Linked DNA regions of Struthio camelus. The protein of the gene in region 1 binds, or shares a complex with, the protein of each later gene. Links are inferred from orthologs where the notes say so. Each region holds a gene or a part of one and is shown in the gene's direction. Other genes may lie near its edges. The genes, in order: KCND2 and KCNIP1.

Region 1 (11,956 bases):
GAATTGATCAAGCTAATTAAAATAAAAGCAAATATAAAGGACGCTAACCTTTTCTTGCTTTCTTCAGCCAGAAATCGGTATCTATTCCATATCATCAAATGGAGCAAAGACTTCATAAATCTACTGACCAGATACCTTTTTACAAGTATAAGTATATAGAAAAAGACAGCAGAGCTACGGGTGGCTTGGAGTAAGGAATATGAACTTAAAACTTGAAAGCTAGAGAAAAAGGGGAGATAAACTTTATTCTGTGGAGTTTTTTCTACTGGAATTCCAGAATCTACTAGATTCCAGAATCTGGATTCTGCTGAAATGTGCCTTAATCTTTGTCTGTGGGTACTTTTAAGGAAGAAAAGTAACCTTAATTGAAATTGGAAAGGTTCCAGCTTTCCAAGCTTGTGCAGATTTATTTCCTTCTCCAAGACTTCTTCACCACCTTAGAGGAGTCTATCCAATCTGTGGTTACACTGAAACACAGACCGCTCATGTCTCTTTCACTGTAGAGTCACTCCCTGTGAATCATGCTTGTTTAGCAGATCTTACAGCTCTCCTTGATAAACGTGTTCCTAGACATTCCTTTCCCACTGAGACTGACATTACTATCCCATTTATCCTTTCCACTACTATAAGGTTGGAGCCATCACTGAATAGTTTCAATTTAATGTGCAAAGTAGGATCCAAGGCCTTAATTAAAACAAACTGAACTCCTCAGTCTTATTTATGTTTTGAACTACTTTGGTCCTTCAGTTTAGACAAACTTTCTTCTGAATCAGGAAGGAATATATGAAGGAATGGACATGACTGAATCATAGATTAAGAATTCTGCAGATGTTGTCTGTCTGCTGCAATATAGCACTTATGTGTATTGGTCTTTGAGAACCAGCTTAGAAAAAGGAACTTCAGTCACGTCTTATATATGTTTTACCCAACAGCTCAACAAAATGATGAGAGTCAAATTTTAGAGTAGGTTATTAACCCTGAGCAGAGAAAGAGGACAAATAGAAGTAGCAAACTATACATCTAAAAAAGAGCAGGAACTGACTACTGGAAATGGCATATTGTCAGATAGTTAAACGGGCTATATTGTGATATAGTTGTATGTCATAGTTAAAGACAGAGATTCAGCAGAACTAAGTACTTTATTAGTACGTCACAGTTCGGTATGAGAAGATAGAGCTTCTTATCGATGCTGAGGGTTTTTTATTACTTTTTTCTTTTTTTAGTGCTTAGGAAGTGAAAGGTGAGTATCTGATGATACTGGAGATTGTTCATGTGACTAGAAATGTGGCCACATGGGCACAGAATAAGTCTGGTGAGAGGCATACCTTTCAAAGCAGACTTCCCAAAGCGTTTCAATGTATCCAGGAATGTGAGCTAAGAGGTGAGCTAGTTTTCTGCATTAATTTACTGTTAGTTTCTCTTTCTAAGGATGTGACCTTAAAGGCAGTTTTAAGTCCAGGGTAGTTTTGCCATTTACTCCAGCCAACTTTGGCTCAGGCTGTCAGTCTCAGGTTCATCCTGCCTAATGTCAAATGTCCTACTAAGACTCCTAAGCTAAGGATTACAGTCATCCCAGTCTTCCTTTTATAGTCAACGGATACCTGCATATATACACTCAGATTGTAGGTGGAATGCTTTGGTCTCTGGAATTATTTCTCTCTGTTGGCTCCAGGAAGTTAGGCTGAGCAGGCTCTTCATTAGGTATCACAGGTGCCTAAAGCTAAATAGGTTGAAATTGAGTCTCATTATATAGATGAAACAACTATTCCTTTGATGATATTATATGAGCCAAAACATGAATTTAAAATTAGTAATATGTATTTATCTAAAGCAAAGTTTAAAAGTTTGTATTTACCATTTTACTGGTGGGTAAATTACCACTAATTTCAAGACGAATTCCCAGTGCTTAGTGTGACTAATACATAGTTAAGTAGAAGTAATCTTTTCTATAATTTCCTGTACATCAAGAAAAACATATACAATTACTAAGAGTATTTGTTGATTTAGAGCAGATAAAATATCTGAGATCAAATCAGGCCCTTCTTTGAAAAACTGAGACAAACTTCTTGAGACTATACCAAGTATCACCTTAACCTCACCTTAAGCAGAAAAGAAACCACAGTGCTTATGGCTCTGTTCTCATCTTCCATCTACTAAGTCTGTATTAAATGCACAAAAAAAACTTTTTCCACAGAGATAAGGCACTTTATTTTCAGGTTAATTTTCAGGCTATGCTAACTCTCAGGCCGGTTTCAGAATTTAAAAGAAATGATGTATGTTGGGCACTTCCCCCACAGTATGACTTAATCCTTGACCAGTGGGAGGTCATTTTTTAAGGTCCAGAGCAATCTATTTCTCCAGATAGAAAGAAAGATGACAAGCACAGGCACTGCAGAGTGACCTGAGCCTATTTTAGCAACCTTCAATAAAGATGACTTTTTCTCTTTGAAAAATTATGCCCATATCAAAACCCTCCTGCCTATCTGCCTGGCCCACAGTACAAAACCTAGTTAGATTTAAACGAGATAAATCTACAAAGGCCAGGAAATTGCAGACTGTGAAAATGTATATTTTCATTAGTTGCATGTGACCAAAGCATGATTTATTTGACTTGCACTATAAAATCAAACATTTTCATCTGTGTATGAGACTCATTCTTAAGCTAGTGACTGCAGTTCTTGAGTGAGCCTAAGTGACCAACACTGTAGTAAGCATTATACTAGTGTCTTTCTATGTAGAAGGTCTCTCAGGTTCCCTCTGTTGGAGAAAAAAAATCAAATCCCTCCCCCGCCTTAGACTGAGAAGCATTCAGACCTGCAAACAAGGAAAATATGAAGCAAAAGAGGCAGATCAATAGAATATTCTGTTAGTAGTAACCAGAGTGGCTCTGGGCAGAAACCGCTGCATTTTGTGGAAGACTGAGTAATGTTGATTCCTATAAATTAAGAGAAAAGGCCTTTCCATCTTTTCACCAAAGAGCACGTAAATACGTTCTTTGTTATGGAGACTATTCTTACTAATCCTAGAGGGGGAAAATAGCTTATAATCAGAACCCAGTTGCCTCTGCAGGATTTTATGCATTTGGTATTCGCTGCACCAGTATGTCTTAATATAAGAATGCAAGAATTGTGAAATTACCTTCTAGACTAAAGAGGGAAAAAAAGAAAGAAATCAGAGGTATAGCTAATTCTTAAGGTTGAGACTTACAAGGTGGCTTTGAATATTTGTGTTTTTCTTTTTTTCAAAACCCTATCAGTTAAGGAAAGCTTAGTACTAAAGGAATTATGAAGAGAGAATGTACATAATTCAGTTTGTGAAGGAAATTCTTGGTTTCAAAGGTTCTAAATATTTTGAAAAAATTAAATACACTAATATAAACATATGCATTATAGCTGTTTAATCCTTAGAGAGTTCTTTGTAGCTCATGACTTTGGAAAGAATTTAGAAACAGCTCGTATTAGAATGTATTGTTTCATTCCCCTTAGTACCATTCTTTTCTGGTCTTACAATTACTAGGATTTATTTTCTTAGCTTGAAAATAGGATTTTTGTCTTATTTGAGATCCAGCTACTTAATTCCTAGTTGAAGTCAACAGTCCTCCCTGTCACATAACACCAGTCTCTTGATGTCACAGATGATTGAACTGTGATGTCACATGAAGGACTTTGACTTCAGAAGAACAGACAATTTATTCTTGCATATACACTTTGTATACTAGAATTTAACCTCTCTGAAATGTACAAAGTAAGAACAGACGGACATTTTCAAGACACTAACCATGCACAAGTTGAGAAAGTTCGACCTTCTTGGTTAGTGCTTCTCACTAGAATCGTAATGAACTTTCTGCTAGAATAAGAAGGTAGTAGACTATGCTTACCAATACACTTTCTGGCTTTTCCTTCCATGATACCATTTCTGAAAGAAGCTTTTCTGATACACAGGCTGTGCAACAAGAACAAAAACAAAAAAAAAAAAGTGATCATCTTTACAAATAGCCAATGCTATTAGAAAAGGGAAACTTTGAACCCGGACCGTTTTCAAACCTCTGTTTTAAAATAGGCATAGTATTATACCATTACCTGATCCCCCCACTTGTCCAAATGTATTGCTTTGTTTTTTCTTTTTCCTGATGAAACGTGGTAAGTCTTTGAAATAACATTAAGATTTCAACAAGAATCAAAGTGATTCTTAATGGAACACGTTCTCCTCTCTATTGAAGAAAAAAACCCCAAAACAAAAAAAAAACCCCAAACCTTTGTTTTCAAGTGAGGTTCTGTAAAAACCTGCATATAAAAACCAATTGAAAGAAGTAACTGTTTACTGTAATGCCAGTCGGGTTAAAAAATAAGAGCATGTATTGATTACAAAAAGAATCTATAGTGGAAAAGGAAACCTCTTTTGACTATTTGTCAGGAAACAAAGTCCTACATTATTATCTTAGTGCTGAGCTGACAGGACGATAAATTGGCCTTTATTAATTGCTATAGGATTGTTATTTTGTATCACTAAATCAAAAATCCTCATCTTTTCCTTCATATGGGAGAAGCATATCATTATCATTGCAATCTCTACACTTAAATCTCGACCAACTAATTTCAAATTAATGGATTAATTTATAAGAATTAATCAGCTGAATGTTTACACCTGAAAAAAATCTTTAGTGAAACTACAGAAGGTATTCTTTTTATGTGATTTTTTTTTTTGTTTCATGTGATTTCAGGTATGTGATTGATTGTAGCCATCATAAGTCTTCCTAATTTAGGAACTACACTTCAACATTTTTTAATCTTTTTGTCTGCATGCTTTCAAGTATTCCTCATGGGAACAGCTTACAGACTACAGTATTGATAGTGTTCTTCATCTTTTTTATGGAAACTTAAACAGAAGCTAATACACACTGAAATCAAGCATATCACTGAGATATAGAAAAGAGATAATTTCCAGGCTTCAGTATGTATTTGTTTTATTTTTCATATTTTCCTTGATTTTCCCTGTTTCCACGTTTTGTTTTAGATTTCTTTGGCACATGCCTAAGATAGGTTATTAGAGCGGGAGGTTTGGTCAACAGATCTTCAAGTATAAAGGGGCCTATTTACTGTATGATTCCTTTGCAAGCCCTCCGTGTTATTACTAAACTGAAACAAACGCATATTAGGAGGAATGCCTTCTGAGGTCTTGACGCGAGCTCAGTGATGAAGAACCCGAGTGTTTTCAGCATTTTAATTACAAAATACAAGCAGCTCGTTCTGCTCATCAGAGCTAGCAGAAGGGCACGTAAAGCTCGAGGCATTATGTCACCGCTTTCCCCCGAAGACGCAGCGCTGCTCTGCGCTCATCTGCCGCTGGCGAGGCTGCGGAGGGCGCCGGGCGCAGCGCGGCGGCGGGCGGCGGCGGCGATGCGGGGCGGCGGGGAGCCAGCGCCGGCGCGGCCCCGCGCGGCCCCCCGGCCCGGCCGCGGCGGCCCCGCACTCCTCGTCATCCACACGCCATCTAGCGACGGGAAAAAGGGGGCGGCTTCGCACGGGAGCGGAAAGGACGGAAGGAGGAAAAGGCTCGCATACCCGTCCCAGCTCTCGCCTGTCTGAAAGCGGGTAAGAGCCGTTCGGATATTGCAGCGAGCACGCCGGAGTGGCTCGGAGCGGGTGTCGAGAAGCCTCGCAACACTTCACTGCCAGGCATTTGATTTTTTTCCCCCCTTTCTCTCTTTCTTCCCCTCCCCTTGAGAGGAGCTAGCACTTCAGAGAAATCTCCCTAGCTGCCTCACCTAAGCCATCTCCACAGCCCGATCCCCACCCGAAACACCGCTAACTCTCTGCGCGGCGCTGACGGCGGAGGGGTTGGACCGCGCGATCCAGGCACCGACACCCCCCCACCCACACACCCCGGCACTCCCCGCCAGCGCGGCCGCCCGCAGCCCGCTTTGTTCCGCCCGCGGAGCCATGCCCTCCGCGCCCGCGCCGCGCCGCCCCGCTTCCCCCCTGCGCCGGCGCCCGCCCCTGCGCCCCGAGCCCGCGGGCGGCGGCGGCGGCGCGGGCAGGCGGCATGGCCCGCCCGCCGCGGGGGAGGCAGCGGGGAGCCCCCCCCGCCCCCGGCCGCGCCAGGGCCTCGCCGCCGCCCGCAGCCCCGCGGCAGCCCCGCGGCAGGGGCAGCGGCCGCAGCCGCGCCTGACGGCAGCCCCGCGCCGCAGGATCCGCTCCCCGAAAGGACGTGCTCCGTTGAGTTGCCAGGCGCGATTACGTTGTTTTTTCCCCCCACCCACCCCTTGAACTTGTTGCTTGGCGCTCGGCGGTGGCGGAGGGGGGTGGGGGTGGGGGAAAGCCTTATTATCGATGTCCCTTTGGATGCGATCAAGCTTTCTCAGGAGCAACTACTTCCCCGCCGTTCCCGGCGGGGCACGGAGATCTCGCGGCAGAGCCTGTATTTCTAAAAGTCTCTATGCAACTGAGCGCTCTCGTCAGACTTTCCCAGGTAGGTGCCGCAGGCTGGGCACGTCCGGAGGGATGCGAGAGCAGAGCCAGGGGAAGGGGCGAGGAGAAGGAGGCGGGAGGGGGAGACCATCCGCTGCTGGCCGCCGAGCTGCACCCTGCCGCGGCTGCGGCGGGGCCCCGCGCCCGCCTCCCCGCCGCCCCCGCGCCCGCCCCGGCCTCCCCCGGCTCTGGGCAGCCCCAGCCCCTGCCCCTGCCCTGCTCCATCGCGAGGCGCCCCCGGCTTCGCCCTTCGCCGCCTGCTCGGCCGCTGCCGAGGATGCCCCGTGTCCCCCGCATCGCACCCTCAGCGGGGGCCTCGGGAGCCCCCGCTCCATCCTCCTCTCCCCCGCCAGCAGGGCCCTGCTCGGCGCTGTCCCCGCTCCGGATCGATCCTTGCCCCAGCCCCAGGCGCCCCATGCTGGGGGAGACTCGCCTCCCGCCCGCTCCGCTCTGCAGGTCGCTCCCTCCTCGCCCCTCTCCAGGTGCCCCCTCCCCTGCGCCCCTCTGCCCTTCAACGCATTTCCTACAAGGAAAACTTGCCTTAAAGTTTAATGCTGCCGCGCGGAGCTCCTCCCCCTGCCCCGCCGGCTCCCCCGGCCCCAAACCTGGGTCAGGAGGAGTCCGCGGGGGGCAGCCATCAAGGTCAGGGAGCGGATTCGTCCCGCTGCTGCTCCAGGGCTGCGGCCGGAGCGGCGGGGGGGGAGGGAGGGGGCGGCCGGCCCGGCCCGGCCCGGCCCATCCCCTCCGCCCCGGCACGGCGAGCGGGCGGGCGGCGCCAGGCGGCCCCGCTGCAGCCCGCCCGGCAGGACTGCGCCGACGGCCGCGGCCGGGCTCCGGCGGCGGGCGGGGAGCGAGCGGAGGAGGGGCGCGGGGCCCGGCTGCATCGCGCGTGGAAGAAAATCTCCTTCCAGGTGGCTGCACCGATGCACCAGGGCTGCTAGCCAGCTGCTGGGGTTAGCGCTGTGGATCGTCACTTCCATCGAGGGGCCACGTATGGACCTCATCGCCAAAGGATCCGGCTGCTAGGGAGTAGTAGGTGCTTTGAATATGTTGATTTCCCGGTGTCCTGATTTATTGCCCTAACTGGCTAATCAGTCCCTGGAAAGGATAGTCTAGGACGAGGAAGGGGAGGAAACAAGATTAAGCAGCCCAGTTAATACTGAATCACAATAGCGTTCTGGAATCCTGTTGCCTCAAAAACGTGTGAGCATTTATATTTTTCTTTTTCCTTTGTGTTTTAGTGGCCATACCAGAACTGTCTCTAAACTGACTCTCTCAGCTGTAGTAGCTGTTCAGGACCATGGCAGCAGGAGTGGCAGCATGGTTACCCTTTGCCAGGGCAGCCGCCATAGGATGGATGCCAGTGGCCACAGGTCCTATGCCAGCTGCTCCACGGCAGGAGAGGAAGCGAAGCCAGGACTCTCTGATTGTGCTGAACGTGAGTGGTATCCAGTTCCAGACATGGCTGGACACCTTAGAACGCTACCCCGACACTCTGCTGGGCAGTTCAGAGCGGGACTTCTTCTACCACCCTGAGACACAGCAGTACTTTTTTGATCGGGACCCTGACATCTTCCGCCACATTCTCAACTTCTACCGTACAGGGAAGCTTCATTACCCCCGCCAAGAGTGCATCTCTGCTTATGATGAGGAGCTGGCCTTCTTTGGCATCATCCCCGAGATCATTGGCGACTGCTGTTATGAGGAATACAAGGATCGCCGGCGTGAGAACGCTGAGCGCCTGCAGGATGATGCTGATCAGGATCATGCAGCCGAGAGCTCCTTACCCTCTATGACAGCTCGGCAGAGGATGTGGCGGGCCTTTGAAAACCCACACACCAGTACACTGGCTCTGGTCTTCTACTATGTCACTGGTTTCTTCATTGCTGTCTCTGTTATTGCCAATGTGGTGGAAACAGTGCCCTGTGGGGTAAGCCCAGGCCGCATCAAGGAGCTGCCCTGTGGAGAGCGCTATGCTGTGGCTTTCTTCTGTCTGGATACTGCCTGTGTCATGATCTTCACAGTTGAATATCTGTTACGCCTGCTGGCAGCCCCTAGTCGTTACAAGTTTGTACGCAGTGTCATGAGCATCATTGATGTGGTTGCCATCATGCCGTATTATATCGGCCTGGTGATGACAGATAACGAGGATGTCAGTGGGGCTTTTGTGACACTGCGAGTCTTTCGTGTCTTCAGGATCTTTAAGTTTTCCCGTCACTCACAGGGGCTGCGCATCCTGGGCTACACCCTGAAAAGTTGTGCCTCGGAGTTAGGCTTTCTCCTCTTCTCGCTTACCATGGCCATCATCATCTTTGCCACAGTCATGTACTATGCAGAGAAAGGTTCATCAGCCAGCAAGTTCACCAGCATCCCTGCAGCCTTCTGGTACACCATTGTCACCATGACAACACTGGGGTAAGTGCAGCTGGCATTTGGTTACAGCCAACATTTCAACAAGTGTATTGCCAGGAATGGAAAATGCTCAATTTCAAAAATGTTAATAGAAAGAAATGAAAGGGTAAGTTTTTGTTCCTCAACTTTATAAATACAACTCAGCACTCCTTTTAAAATGCTTTACATATGCAAGTGAGTTAAAAGTGTTGCTAAAGTTAAAATAACCCAGGCCCCAAACTGGACATGAATTGAAAAACCCAAACAAATGTAATTCTTAAAACTATGTTTGGGTTCTTCACCATTTTCTCTGACAGTTTATTCGGTCTGGATAGTGAAATTGCAAGATTTTCTAAATATTTGTGAGTTATCAGTGGATTTCTAGTAGAATAGTATGATTTCTGATAGGATTTGTTGCAGTGTTGCTAAAGTAGTGATAGTTATGAGAAGAAAACAGGTGCAATATTTTGATTTGACCATGCATAGAAGTATGTGGATCTGCCATTTTGTTTGAATTGAAGTATTGATGGGGACTTTGGTATAGATTTGGGTACTGCAAGGTGGTTTTTTTTCACAAAAATAAAAAAGAATCTTAATCTCCACAGGAAAAAAAAAGTCCTGATCTTATTTAAGACATTGGACAAAATCCCTTTGATTTCCATAGAACTGCAGCTTAGCTCCAAGTAAATAGCACATGTCAAGCTTTGCTTACCTATGACACAGTGTGGAAAAAGGTTTGAGAAAGTGTGAAACACTTATATGACAGGTCAAATAAATATCTAAAACATAATTCTAATGACTAGAAATTCTTCCAGAGAATTAGGAGTTAAAAGATGCTTGGTCAACAAAAGATTGTTGACACTAAACTCCAATAGAGTTTAGTGGAAAGATAGGAGATAGTACCTAGCATTGTTTTATAAAGATAACAGGTCTCTTACTGATACTAGAATCACATTGTAGCAGCTGACTCTGTACACCAGGCTGTACGATGTGTTTATCTGTAATGCTAAAAGGGATTTAGAAAGTTTGGCTCATTTGAGAAGACAATTTGTTGCCCTGTTCTTAATTTTGGGCTTTATAGTATCAGCTATGAAACTGAAAATTTTTTGATTCCTTATAAATTTTCTAGCTATTTAATAATTACAGGTATTAAGAGACACAACTTTTCACTCTCATGAAGATGAGGACCGTCATTTTATTAGTCAAACATTTTGCCACATCTTGTTGAAATTGTTGAGATTTATGAAACACGTATAATTTTTAAGCTTAACAAAATGAAAGTGCATTATGAAACTATTATGGAAAAAGTTGATTTATTATATGCAATCATAATTCAGCTGGAAAAATCACATATAGAATTTTGAACAAGATAAAGGGACTGTATTATGCCACCATTTTTTTAGAAAAGCCTTTTATCTTCAGCACACTATAACAAATGAAGATAAATATAGTACATTGTAAATATTTCATAATACTTGTGAAGGCAAGTTATGCTAAAAAGGAATGACAAGAGCTTTGGGGATTTTAATCTACTTTTTAGGTTGCTGGGTTTTTTAGTTTTCATTTTCTTCTGGTAGTGACAAACTAAAGGGACAAGTTAGCACAAGGAACAAGTTATACATGATAACTAGTTCCACAGTCCTATTCTTTCTGATACTGTCTGATACATTTGCCACATATTTTTAATTATCATTTGAACTGTGATGATTTCAGCAAGTTAAGTCATAAGAATTTACCAATTTTTATAATATACAATTTTATTATTAAAAAGCAGGAGATGGCCTGCATTTTTTTGTAATGAAAGGTATTTGTTACATAAGTCGAGTTCACCACTGTGGACATTGTTGTTGGCAGTACTTGTCCATGGTACTGAACCGTATTGTTAAGTAGCATAGCCAGCTCGTAATGGAATATGACACAGACGTGATATTGATTTGTCAGTGATATGACTTGGCATTGATATAACTTGTTTTTCTCTTTCATAAAAAATTGGTATAATCCCATAGTTCCATGTTTTGAGACAGTACGCTGAATACCATTTCAAGAGTACTGATGAATAACACTGAAAATCTCTTTGAACAGAGCTCAAGAACCTATTTTCAAGTACACAGGCACACGATATTTAGGTCCCTGGAGGAAGAAAAGGGATTAAAAAGAACAGATGTTTGACTCAGTTTTGGAAGTAGTTTGCATAAAGCAAGTTTTGAGCAACTTTCACAGAGATGCAAAGTTTCAGCCTTACAAGTTCCTATATGATTACAAGTTCAGATATTACAGACATCATAACTTGCTGGGAAATTTTTAGCCAATACATTAGCTAGATGATATCCTTTAAAAAATTCTGATAACTATGTAAAGACTATGCTTAAATGTTAAATAAATATGAATAATTTTAATTGAATTGCATAACAAAAGCTTTCAACTGTCTTTAGTTGAGGGAATGATTATAGAAAAAGAGAGGGAAATTCTAGGAAAAGCAGCAAGCGTTAGTGAAAGCTGACTGCAATTAGTACTGCTGCCTTCGGTTCTATGTTAGATCCTGTCACCATTGACTTTTGTAGAACTCCCATTTATTTTTAATTTTAGTTTTTGCTGAACAAGGGCTATAAAATTGGGCTCTATATGAACAACTTTTTTATTTTAGGAATAAAGTTAGCTGAAATCTCTTAATTTTAAAATAATAGTAGCACACAGCAGGCTCTCTGAAATATTATAAAAATACATGAAAACTAATAGACTATGCTATGAATAATAGACTAACTATTTGAGTTTTTGACTCTGAGTGTCATTCTCACATTTTTCTAGATAGCAAGGGTATTGAGTAGCGACCTTTGCAATTTGGGGAGTTATTATCTTCGAAGCAGAGCTATATTTCTCCGTTCTGCATGATTGCTGAGCAATTAAAGCGTCTTTAAAAAACATAGATTACATTTTTCTCTGCAGAGTGCCAGTGACTTCAAATATTGCTACATTTTAGCCTCCAAGGACATCCCAGCTATTAACTATTCTTGACTGCTCAACTCAAGTGATACATAATTGCACATAGAGATGTTATATGAATGAATGAATGAATGAATGTATGAATGGAAGAGAGAGAA
Region 2 (11,956 bases), on another chromosome or scaffold:
TGAGGTACTGCAGCACACCTAACGTATTAGCCATTGCCTTCTTCCTTCATCACTCAGGCACACTCAAGTTATATCATGCATGTTGTGTTTATACTGTTATAAATATAAATGTGTGCATGTTTCCCTGTTGTTGGAGCTGAGAGGCGTAAGAGTTGCCTTTGGTTCAAGATAAATACTTTCAGCCTAACATCTGGAGACCCCTTTGACAAATTATTGCCACCAAAGTGAAGGGATGCATGGTTTGATTTCTTTGCCTACTTTGGTGCTCTGTAGTCACCTCTGCCAACACTGACTTATCCACAGAGCTCACACAATCTTGCATCTCTGGCCTTTTGACTAGCCCAGTTTTACTGGATGTCAGACGCCTTTGTGGGAAGGCTGCCTTCACCTCCCGCTAGCCCGTATGCAAGGGCAAGATCATTACCACCCTTTCTGCAGTTACAGCTTTACAAGCTGACCACAACTGCTGTGTTCAGGATATCTTCCCTGAACAAAGCTTTGCAATTTTCTCTCTGAGGAGCTCTGTATTTACTGAGTAGTATCTCTGTCCTTAGTTATGGTTAAGAGAAACATGATTTAGTTTGAATGACAGAACAAAGAAAGAATATTCCTATTGTGCCTAACCCCTCTCCATGTCACAACTATCCCTGAGAATACAGGGCTAAAGTGAAAGTTAAGTGGGACCTCACTAAAATGTTGACATCACCTCACTGCTCGCAGCCTGGCAGCTGCTGTGCGTTTCCCGTGCAAACCACTGAGTTCCCAACTACTGTGCAAAATTCACTTCCCCATGCAACATTCCTCTGGAGCCTGTGTGTGGCTCTGCTTGTCCTGCTTTTAATCTCCTACTGATAAACATGTATGTGATTAGGGCAGACATAACAAGAGGTAAGAAATGCACTAGAGGATTGCCTGGAGTCTCACAGCCAAGAGCTGTGAAGCTGGGAGTAGCGTTTGGCTAGATTTATGTTTTCCCTCTTTTCAACAGAAGCTCTGTGTAATTTTCCGTGGTGTGGCGCAGCAGCCTTTCGTCTTGGAGTGTGATTGTATTTAAATCTATGCAAGAGTCTGAAAAAGCATCCAGGCTCATCCTAATCTGAATTATGGCACTGCCAGTATGCTTTAGCAAGGTTGGCGAGTTTAGCTCAAGAAAAGTCCAGGACTGGAATATGAAGAGCGCTCGAAGCTTGAACTTTGGCCAGTTTCTCTGTAGGAAGCTTGCACGGCAAGCCCTGTGCTCTGCGTGGAAAGAGGGATCTAGGCCCCAGGCTCCTCCGTAAGGATGGGCTCTGCTGCACAAAGCTCCAGGGCAGTCAGTGGGGCTTTCCACAAGCAGAGGTGACCACCTGTGACTTCCAGGCTCAGGATGTCAGGCTACTCTTAAAAGATCAGAATTTTTACTTTAATTTACATGCACTCTGTGTGTATATGTATGTGTTTCAGACTAAAGGTTTTGTACCCAGCCCTTGCTTCTCTTAGTTTCTCATCTGTGCTTTAAAAAGCCCATTTTAGTGTGCATGCTTTTTCATAAGAAACCCTTCTTCCCCTGGACTCCTGTATAAATAAACAATTAGAGTCATGTTTGACAGACGGGATATTAGACAAAGAGATGACCCAATTGGAGTGGACAGTTTGTAGAAAATACTGATGTGTAGCAAGCTATATGCTCTCCTCTGCTGAGGAACGCTGCCTCTTAGTCTAGAGATAACTACTGTGCCATTAAAAAAAGTTGTGTAATGACAAGGAAGTCTCCATGCACTGTTCCAGTGGCTCTGATTGATTGATAATACTAACTGGAATTACAGAGTGCGTGAAAATGCAGTACGACCGTTATCTTCCTTGGTAGCAATGCAGGAGAGCAGTGGTGAAGATAATATCAGGGCTGGGATGCTGCTCGAGTGCTGGAGTGGTACAAAGGAGATCTCAATTCTGATCTTCTCGCTGCCACTTTCTGTTCTTGGTAATCATAGGGAAGTGAGTTCATCTGGTCATATGACAGTTTACCAAGTTCTAAAAAGGGGGATATTAATACAAACTTCCTTTGGAAAAGCATCTGGAGAAATGCTAAATATATTATTATTAATGGTATTATTATTGCAAATAATAGTAATGACAGGGGACGTGATATGCTCAGAGCTCTATCCACACAGGCTATATGTATTCGAGTAAGCTGGCTGTCAATTCTTCATTTCAAGTAGGTCAATTTTCAAAGCTACCCTTTGAAGCAATACTCCCTGTCTTAGTCATGGGGCAATAAAACTGTTAAGTGATGTTGCATTAATTACCTCTAGATTGGAAGTAACCTAGGACACAGCTAGTAGGAACAATTGCCCGTACTCATTAGACTTACTTCCAAACAGATCATCAGAATCGTATTTATGGCCTATCCTGAGACACTTGTGTCTTTGGGAGTGCAGTGAACATGATACAGTATGTCTGTGTCAACACTTTGGGACCCAAGAGCACACCCCAGCTCCTCTCCAGCTCCATATCGGGTGAGACTTGGTGCATACCAGCTGCTCCCATGCCTCTTTTCTCTGGGAAGAAGAGCTGGCCGCCCAGGCGGGGAAAGAATCTGTGGCTCCAGCTCCAGCCACGTCTCCAGTTCTGGCAGTCAGGACATCAGGGCCTGCCGGGGGGGGGTCAAGGCTCAAGCTGAATATGCTGAGATTGAAAACACCATTCCCATTGCAGGAGAAAAGATCCTGCTCTTTCTCTCTGGATTCATGGAACAGTTTGTCATATCAAGATGGAAAAATTTAAGAAAAAAAATTATGGGAAGGAATTGGAGAGGAGGAAATTTCTGCAGTGATGCCCTCTCCTAAGCCACAGGGAATGGGAATGAGTAGGATTTGCTTCCAGGTGTGTGTGTGTTGGGGGGGGGGGGGGAACGACTTTATGGCTTCCATGCAAAAGTCTTTTGGCAGCCAGATATAAGAATGGACCAGACCAAATGCCTAAGCAGTTGATGACTGTCTCTCATAGTGGCAAGTAGCAGTAAATTAGGGAAAGAATATAAAAAAAAGTGAGAGTGTATCTTCTGTCAGTGCATCCTTCAAGATCCCAGGATCCATGATGTATCCCAGCTGTCATCCCCTTTGCCCTTCAGCCTCCACAGCATCGCTACAGTATCTATCTGGGATGAACCTGGTAGGACAAATGCTGTACCCTTACATCCCTGACAGCAGGTTGCCATAGAACTGCTCTTGACGAACCTACTGCACCCACAGAAGAAAAAAAGGGGGGAAATTTCCTTTATGCGGGAGAAGGCAGTAAGAAAGCAGGGCATCCAAGTTCACAGTCTGTTTATTCATACCTATCCTGGAGATTATGCTCAAGCATTTGCTGTGTGGTTTCAAGTTAAGGGATTAAATTTTCTCCTGATGCAAATAGGACTGAACTGCCTTTGATGTCAGTGGGAACCGCAGTAGCTGAACCCCTGCTTGAACTTAGCCCAGATGAGTCTTATATACTCAGAGAATGCTTTCACCTCTCACCCACCCACGCTGCGATCCTCAATGGCAAATTAGGAAAGAACAATTTCCTACAATGTACTTGCTTTTATATCCCTCTGGGATGACAATTATCATGTTATATAGTCCTCTCAGATTTTATAAGCAGAAAATAAAACTAAGCATGGGTGTGAGTAAAACAGTTACATTCCTGAGTACTGTGTAACTACCGTATTCCCTTATTAAGCATGCTGAAAATGAATGTAAAAGAAATTAGAGGATTTATTCTGTGTATTGTTTTGGAGTTTGTTACATCAAAGCCTTCAGGGAAAAATACTTTCCCCTACATTGCAACCTTCCCTTTGAATAACCCTACCTTTGTATGCCTTTCCAACTTTGACTGACCTGCTTGGACTTCTGATCAAATAAAGAAATTGCAGTATCTATTTATACTGAACGGCCCTTATTGACTTTGCCATCAGGGATAAAACACCTTTTTTTTTCCTCAGAGAAGTTCTCAGCCAGTCACTGAAGATCATCTGCCTGCAACTAGAATAAGGTGCCTTTGTGCTCTCCCACAGATAACCCCAGTGAGGATGCAAGGCTCTCCATGACCAGTCTCTTATGCATCATCTCATTCACTCATTCAGGATGTTGACTTTTGCCTCAAAACAACAGTTATAGCCAGTCTTCATTTTCCAACACGCTGAACTTCAAGTAAACAGCTTTGTGCTTTCTCTTATACTGGTCCTTGCAGTCAAGAAGCATCTGCAAAACACCATTAATCCTCCTGCCTTCAAACCTTCTTCTCCCGTTATGGGTACAGGGCACTGTGGTTAGCCTGTGCCAGCACTAGCCGTGGTCATGCTGTGCAGCTTGCCTTATAGTTTTCCCGTGCTTCCCCCAGTCTGCTTGACCGTATCCAGTGTTTTCTCTTGTTTCACTCTTAGCTTTCTTGGATAAGAACCATCCTTTCTGTTCTAATTTTGTACTGCACCTAGCACCAGCGGAGTCCTGGGCTTCAGGAATCACTGTACTACGAGTACTAAGTCATTTCCTCAGTAGTAAAGAATATGGAACGGCCAGAGCAATTCTGTGCTGCTGAACTCTCATTCACATGTACTGTCTATGAATGTTTCCCGCATATCTTTATATCTGAGTATTTTTTAAGCTCATCAGCTTTGGTACTACATGCAGAGGGTCTTTTTTTCGGCTGCTGAAACTTGTGCTGGAGGCCTGGCTAACCCCCATTTCCCAGAGCGCTGGGAGCATGAAGCTCCAGCACCCTGCTGAAGCAGGTGCAGCTTTTATGCAGTCCTGTGGCTAAGGTGATGCACTGCTATGGGTTACAATTTGTTTCTTTTTCCCTGTGGACTATGGGCCAAAAGAGGCCAGCAGATCTTTTGAGATGAAATCTGGTTCTCCGGGGCAAATTGGGGAGTCAGAGAGGCTGAAAGTGTTTTCTAGGGTATGACACAGTCGTCTTCTTCCCCCCACTGCCTGAGACCTCTCTGCCTCCATAACCTTCCCATCGCACTTGCTGTGTCTGTTGTCCTCTGACTTGTGACGTTTGGGTTGCGAAAGGGTAAGTTACCACCTTGTAACTGAGTCCTTTGCTTTCCAGCTGTGACAGTTTCTCAACTAAACCACTTTCTGACCAGGATGAGGGTTTTTCAGCCAAATTTTGAAACCAGCTGGGATGTGCAGCAATGTATTTCCATTTGTTTGTTAAAACAAAATAAAAATTTCTGGCAATTTTCAGGCAATTTCTGGCATTAGGTAGCTTGATAATCTTTCCTCTAGGCAACCTAGGTGTAGCCAGGAATATCTGCCCCCTTCTTCCTCAGTTAAATGTGATCACGATACATATAAATGCAATTAAGCGTGTTGCAAATCCTTGATATACACTAAATTAACAACCAACTGATTCTTTGATTTCCACATTGACATTTTACTGCCTTATTACATTTTTTTTTTCCTTTTGAAGCATCACGTTTCCAGCTCTGGATTGTCTCTCTGGGGATAAAGGACAGCCTTGGAGATGGCTTCACGATGGAGTTACTTAGGCCTATATGTCTACAAGTCTGCCACTCATTTTGGGTGGTCACGCAAGGCTTTCGAGCCAAGAATGGTCTAGGCAAGCGGCCCGGTGGAGCGTAAGCAAGGAAAGAGCAAAGACTTTCTGGAAACTTCTGGAGAAACGTGGCCGAGAGGCTGCAGGGCAGGACAGCCCCGGAGGGGCAGCCGCGGGGGGGGCGGTCGGGCGGACCGGCCGGCCGTCTTGGCAAGCAGGAACTGCTCTCTGCTGGTCACTTCCTCTGAGGTTTATTTTGAGGTTTTCAGTCGGGGAATCTGTTCATTTGGGGAAAAAAATGAAAAACCTAAAGCCGAGCTTGAGGTTTTTTAGCTCCAGATGCAGCCCAGGGAAATTCGGCGCGTGGTAAAACATCCCCGCCTCTTCAGGGCCGGCTCCACGGCGATGGACTTGAACTCGGCTTTCCCCGACCGTTACTCAAGCCGGTCGGTGCGTAGTTTGCTCTTGGCGCGCAGAAGTCCGCTCTCCTGAGGTAAAAGGAGGCAGCGCGGAGCGGCTCCGGGGCGGCCGTGGTCTCCCGCGGCGGCAGCCGTTGGCCGCACTCGCGCCTCAGGCGGGAGCCGTTGGCCGCGGCCCCTCTCGGCCAGCGCTGAGTCAGCGACCTACCGGGCGGCAGCCTGAGGGGAACCCTTGCGACCGCCCCTGGGACAGGAAAATAGCATGGTGTTTTGGGGCTGTCTGGAAACACCTGAGAGGACTTAGGCATGAAATAAAGCCTGAGGCTGCCCCCCCCCCCCCCCCCCCCCGCGCCCAGTGCTCAGGCGGGGCCGCGGGCGCTGAGGCAGCGCCGCTACGCTGGACACAACAAACGGAAAAGTAATTTTGCTCCACGTATTCCAGGCACGCAGAAGCGATGGGCTGAATGGGAGACGCCAGAGCCGCGGCTGCTGCTGGCGGGTAAATCCACCAGGCACCTGAGGGAGAGAGCCGGGGGCGCTGGGCAAGCCTGACGCCGCGCTCGCTCGCCCGCCCGCCCTCCCTCCCCGCGCTTCGACCAGCTGAGCAGCATTTCGGAGGGTAAAACGGCCAGGAAAGAGAGTTTTGCGGGCGGCTGGCGAAGGAAGGAGCGCTCCGCGCCGGCAGCGCGGCAGGACGGGTCGCGCCCGGCTCTCCCGGGGCCCGACGGCGGGAGATCGCCGGCTGGACTGCGGCTGGCTGGGGACGGCGCCACCACAGCCCGGCGCGGCGCGGCGCGGCGGCCGCAGCCCCCTCCGCGCGCCGCCGGGGAGGGGCGGGGCGGGGCGGGCTGGCTCCGCCCCCTCCCCGCGCCGGCACCTGCCGCCAGGGCGCCGCGGCGGCACCTGGGGCGGGACGCGCCTCCCCTCCCCTCCGCTCCGTCCCGCAGGAGCCCGGCGCGGAGCGCGGTGCGAGGCCGGCGGGACGCCCCAACTTGTGGAGGGCACTCCGCGCTCCCCGGCCGGCGCGGGGGAGAGGAGCGGCGCGGCGCGCTGGAGCCATGAGCGGGTGCTCCAAGAGGTGCAAGCACGGGATTGTTAAATTCGCCCGGACCGTGTTTAAGCTCATCACGGGCACGCTCAGCAAAGGTAAGGGGGAGCGCCTGGGCTCGCGCGGCTGGGCAGGCTGCCTTGGCCGTGGGCTGCCAGCGGGGCCGGCCGCCCCGGTGCGTGGGGAGCCGGCGTGCGGGCTCGGCGCTCCTGCCCCGTGTCGCTTCGGTGTTGGCGCCTCTCGGAAGCGGCCTCGGAATCTGGGTCGCTGCCGCTTGCGCGCTCGCCGGCGCCTGTCACCGGCGCCTCGGGCCCCGCGCCGCGCGGGGGGAGCGGTGCCGAGCGCCTCCTCTCCGCCGCGCCTGAAGAAACAAACCCGCCGGCGACCTCGGCCCTCCCGCCCGGCTTTCCTGCGGCAGGGACACCTCTCCGCCTTCCCCGCGGCCGCTCCTGAGGAAAACGGAGGGTTTTCAGCTCGGCCGCCGGCTGCCGACACGTGGGCAACGTTTAGGTCAGGCTTCTCCAAGTTCTTGCTTTGTTTCCTTGGGTTTTTTTAGACGTGGTAATAAAATCTAGACCAAGTTATTGGAGGAGGGATTCTCATGAAGCTGAAGAGTCTCTGTTATGATGCATTTATTACGCGTAAATGTCTGAAGCTTTTTTGATGTTTTCGTGGTGGATCAACAAAAGGGAAGTGTGTGTTTTCCAGATAATTTTAGATCCCTCAGAGGTGTTGTATGGTTGCGTCGGCTGTCAGGAGCACATGTGCTCCTGTGTGAATTTTAATGTTTAAGTTGTTCTTAGGGTAAACTCAGTGCCCCCCGAGATGACTTTTGAAATGCCAACTGTGGAAGTGCCAAGAACTGAAACGCTGGTGTGGCTTCTCTGTGCAGAAACTGGGGGACTTCCTCGGTCTGTCCTGTCTATCTGGGAAACACATGCGCTTCTAAGGTGACTTCTTCATGTTAGTCTTACTGACTTTCAGAAGAAACCTGCACAGCAAAATGCTCTGTTCGAAACACAAATACTAGACATGTTTTAAAAGTCACAATTAGTTCAAATTTACATCTTGTTTTTAATTATTCTTTTGCCACTTACATTTGTTCTGTCATCTGTCAAAGACCAGCAGAAGAGAGAGACTAAGAACTTGCCTGACATTGGTTATAACTTGCAATTAATGCTGAGATCTCCCCTTTAAAACAAAGGAGAAATCCACCAAAGAAAGCATAGTGAAAGAAATTGCATACTTGCATGGCTAGAGCAGAGAAAGCAGTGGTATGATGCATCTGCAGGGGCTTGCCCTCTCCAGTGAATCCACATGTCAGCGCCTATGGTGTTTTTTCTAATTTGTGCTTTTTTGGGAGCTAATCGAACTTATGGTTTATACTTCTGTGAGGTGCTGGTAGTAGCTAGCCACAGCTGATGAACTTTGTGCTATTCGCATGTGCTCTCCCTAGGGCAGTGAGAAACCTGCGTCCTGGTCGTGTTTCCTTCTGTGGTCAGCTAGCGCAAGTCAGCTAATGGGGAATTCACAAGCAGCCCTTGCATCTCTGCTGCCAGGCTTGCTTTGGCAAAGCAATACATCAACGGTTCGGTTTGAAAATAGAACAGCACTGTGTGGGGGGCTAGAAATGACAGCCAAGTGTCCAAAATCTACCCCTCCCCTGAGGATGCCTGCCTTGTGCTTTCGTTGTCTTTCTACGTGGTAACCAGTGCCATGGTACCGTTCCGCTCTGCCATGGCAATGGCTCGTTTCGAGTTGCTTGGAGTAGATAAGAATGGCCTCCTAGGATGCAAAGAGCTTACACTTTTTTTCTTTCTCCCTGCTCAGCTGCTTGTTTTTGAACTGCAAGAACTAGATTCAGGAAGGGATAAAGCACGTGAATGAGCTTCTTGCATGGATATCAAAGACCTGTTTTAACTAAAATAAACGCTTTCATATCACTAGTTGTGAAACTCCAACTAGAAAGAAAATGATTAGAAATCTTACTCAAAAATGTTGATTTCTATTAAAAAAAAAAAAAAAAGCTGAAGTTTACTTATACATTTATTCCAGAATTTATTGTTTAGAATTTCTTCCAGTCAAATTTTTTGCATATAAAGCCAAGATGTGGGAACTATTTTATATTGCTATTATGTACATTTTAACTTACACCATCTACATGCTCTTGAATATTCAAGAACTATCTCGTGTTCTTCGCGTCACTCCTGCTGTTTCGTTACCTTCATACTACTTAATACTGTTTATTTTTACTTTAAACACGTCTTACAAGAAAATCCTTTGTGAGGCACAAGATTCACTATGTTCTTGTGCCTCCATCTCTTTGTGGTTTATTGGGGTGTGAGCTACTCCAGAGTTCAATGAGATGCAATTCCTAGCTGAATTGTATGGCTTCTGCTTTTCTTAATAGTAGGGTGTTTCCCCCCCCCCCCCTTAACTATTTGCAATAATAGAAGGAAACTGTTGGGGCTGCACTTGAAGTCGTTCCTTTTGCAGTGGGATGTGACGAGATGGCAGCATCGCTCTGTAGTGGGCAGTATGGGAGCAGGCACAGCTGGTGCTGCCGTGTGGTAGTCGGTTGGTACGGTCTGTGCGGATGTACATCGGCAGCAAGCCTTCAAGGCTGTAAGCCAAGAAATTCATAGCTAATATCTCTGCAGAGCTGGACTAGCGAATCTCACCTATTCGCCTATTAGTGCATTCTTATCTGGAAAACCTTGGTGATGGATCAGAGGTCCCTGCTGCCGTGTGAGAGAAGGTCTCTTCCACAGAGCTGGATGCGTTAAAGACTACATGTATAAAGAAGCACATCCCTCTTTAGCTGCTCAGAGCAGAACAGCTGTGTTCTCCTGACTGGTTTGGATAGAGGTCCAAAACTTGAAGGGGAGAGCTCAGACGAGACTCCTGGAAGCGAGTTGGTGTGTTTACAGCCCGAATGCGAGCAGCAGCACCTTAGCCACAGTTCCCTTGTTAAAACAGGTTTTTGCATGAGGATGTGGTGTTCTTTCACCTTATCCCTACTGCGGTATGGGAAATGGTAGCTGATCCTACGTGCCCTGGGAGCAAACAGGGTAACTGGTAAGACTGAGTTTGGGATTTCCCATAGGTCCAGATGACTAAAGAACAAACTTCCTGCTCAGTGTTGGGACCTCAGGCTGTGTGCGGAGATATTGCTGATATCATTAAAACGCTAATACAGGAAGGCCTTGCTGAGCAACCAGAAATCGAGCTGAATTGGGGCCTCTTGGATTTCTATTAATATGTTATCAGTGCAAGAAAAGCAAAATTATTTTAGGGAGCAAATCCTTCAAAATATTCCTTATGAAAAGTAGATAAGCTCCTGCAAGCCAACTGCCCTTTGTTCCTGGGTTGCCCCTCTTTTAGTTGTGCTGTTAAAACGCTTGCCAAAGGCTCTCATTTCTGTTTTCTTGCTTCTTCTGTCTCTGTTCTGCAATGCAATTCATCTGGAACTCGTAATTTGTCCATTTTTCATAGTTTTAATTGCCTAATTATCTGCTCCAGTGCAGTGATAAAGTCTTCAAACATCTTGCTCTCCCCACAGCCTCCCCAGCATGAAAGAAGAGTATTTTGAGTATATGACTGCAATGTGATTTGTTTTGCAGCTTCTTTGTGCCTCTAAATTGCAGCTAGTCTTCTGAGACCTTACGTGAGATGGTAAGGAAAGCGCATGGTTTCTTACAGTCATACATGGGCTCTGCCTTCTCTCAGTAGAGATTAATCTTGTTCTTTTGGTGCATGCTGGCACTGTATTAGATTTGGCTTTGTGGTCGCAGGCTCTGCAGTTGCGAGGGCAGGGTAAATGCTGCTAGATGCCCTAAAGACGCAGGGAGGTTCACTGCAGTTATTCAGGAGATGCCGGGGATCCTGCACCTGTGTGTCATACTGAAAGACGTTTTGATTCTCCTGTTGCTGTCTGGCTCACCTTCACCCCTTCGATTCTGGCTAACGCCCCCGGATCTAGGGAATCTGGGATTCACAGGGCTCTTAGAAGGAACTGATACAGCTTTTCCTTCTGAAACTTCCTGCATTTTGTAAATATTCTTTAAGTAAAGCAGTTACAGGAGCTGGATGAATGATACACTTTTACCGAGTTTAATACTGAGCAGTTATTAGGGTTTGTCTATGTGTTCCCATGGTCCTGAGAAACAGGAGAAGGTTTCTGTGCCTAAAGTGCTGGTATGAACCCTTGGTCGGAGAGGGGCTGCCAGGGCGAGGGGCAGAATACTTGTCTGCAGTGCGTGTCTTGTGGGGAAGAGTCTACGGCTAGTGACGCTTCACTGCTCAGCACCTGATCCTCGCTCCGCTCAGCGAGGCCCTCCAATTTCATTGTCTGCATGCTAGAAACGCTGATGTGTGTGTGTGTGTGTGTGTTTAGCCAGCAAACCTAGTGATGTTCTCTCCATGCTGATGAACCCTTGCGTCTGTATGAGTCACTAAGGAAAATGCACTTCCGATTGGCGTGTTACACGTTTGTAGGTGTATGAAAAATGAACTGCAAAGAAACGTATCAGTTCCACAAAGGCTGCACTAGTTAATCTGTATATATGTCTATGTGTACCATTTCCTTCTCCCCTCTGAAGCAAGGTGAGTTTTAAGAACTGAGAATGAGAGGAAGTGGAAATAGTCTGTTACTCCTTTTCAAACCGCTTATAAACCTGTGCTTGTGGAGACTAATACCTCTGGAAGTGGCCAAGTAGTTGCATATGTGCTAGAAATACGTTAAGAATGTCATTGTTTGCAATGATGTAGCCCCAAAAGTGAGTATGTAATGTCAGTTATGCAGAAAACAAGAAAACATGATCTTGTTGTCTGAGAAACAATACAGGATGCTTTTTTGTAATGCTGTTCCAGTAAGCATGTGTGGATGTGGTGTCTGATAGCTAGGACTGCTGTTAAACCCTGGGACTAGTCAGCTATCATGTCAGTGAGAAAATGAGGTTAT

What was found.
Region 2: the proteins of KCND2 (region 1) and KCNIP1 are in contact, whole or in part, in a cryo-EM structure (PDB 7E8E), measured with the Homo sapiens proteins. The link is inferred for Struthio camelus from reciprocal best matches to the Homo sapiens genes KCND2 and KCNIP1. Residues at the interface, in NP_036413.1 of Homo sapiens: Ala2, Val5, Ala7, Trp8, Pro10, Phe11, Ala12, Arg13, Ala14, Ala15, Ala16, Ile17, Gly18, Trp19, Met20, Pro21, Val22, Ala23, Ser24, Gly25, Met27, Ala29, Pro30, Gln33, Arg35, Lys36, Arg37, Thr38, Gln39, Asp40; in NP_001030009.1 of Homo sapiens: Thr60, Arg62, Glu63, Val66, Leu67, Arg69, Gly70, Phe71, Asn73, Glu74, Phe85, Ile88, Tyr89, Gln91, Phe92, Tyr101, Leu105, Phe109, Phe122, Leu126, Leu129, Leu130, Lys137, Thr141, Leu144, Tyr145, Val162, Ile165, His185, Phe189.

What each region holds. Positions count from the first base shown.
Region 1 is NC_090942.1:26,678,232-26,690,187, reverse strand, and holds the start of KCND2 (A-type voltage-gated potassium channel KCND2), read left to right. Parts: upstream 1-5,506; 5' UTR 5,507-5,591; intron 5,592-6,361; exon of another isoform or gene 6,362-6,468; intron 6,469-7,334; exon of another isoform or gene 7,335-7,499; intron 7,500-7,708; 5' UTR 7,709-7,767; coding exon 7,768-8,882; intron 8,883-11,956. UniProt on the Homo sapiens protein: Voltage-gated potassium channel that mediates transmembrane potassium transport in excitable membranes, primarily in the brain. Mediates the major part of the dendritic A-type current I(SA) in brain neurons.
Region 2 is NC_090954.1:19,313,014-19,324,969, forward strand, and holds the start of KCNIP1 (A-type potassium channel modulatory protein KCNIP1), read left to right. Parts: upstream 1-6,854; 5' UTR 6,855-7,003; coding exon 7,004-7,091; intron 7,092-11,956. UniProt on the Homo sapiens protein: Regulatory subunit of Kv4/D (Shal)-type voltage-gated rapidly inactivating A-type potassium channels. Regulates channel density, inactivation kinetics and rate of recovery from inactivation in a calcium-dependent and isoform-specific manner.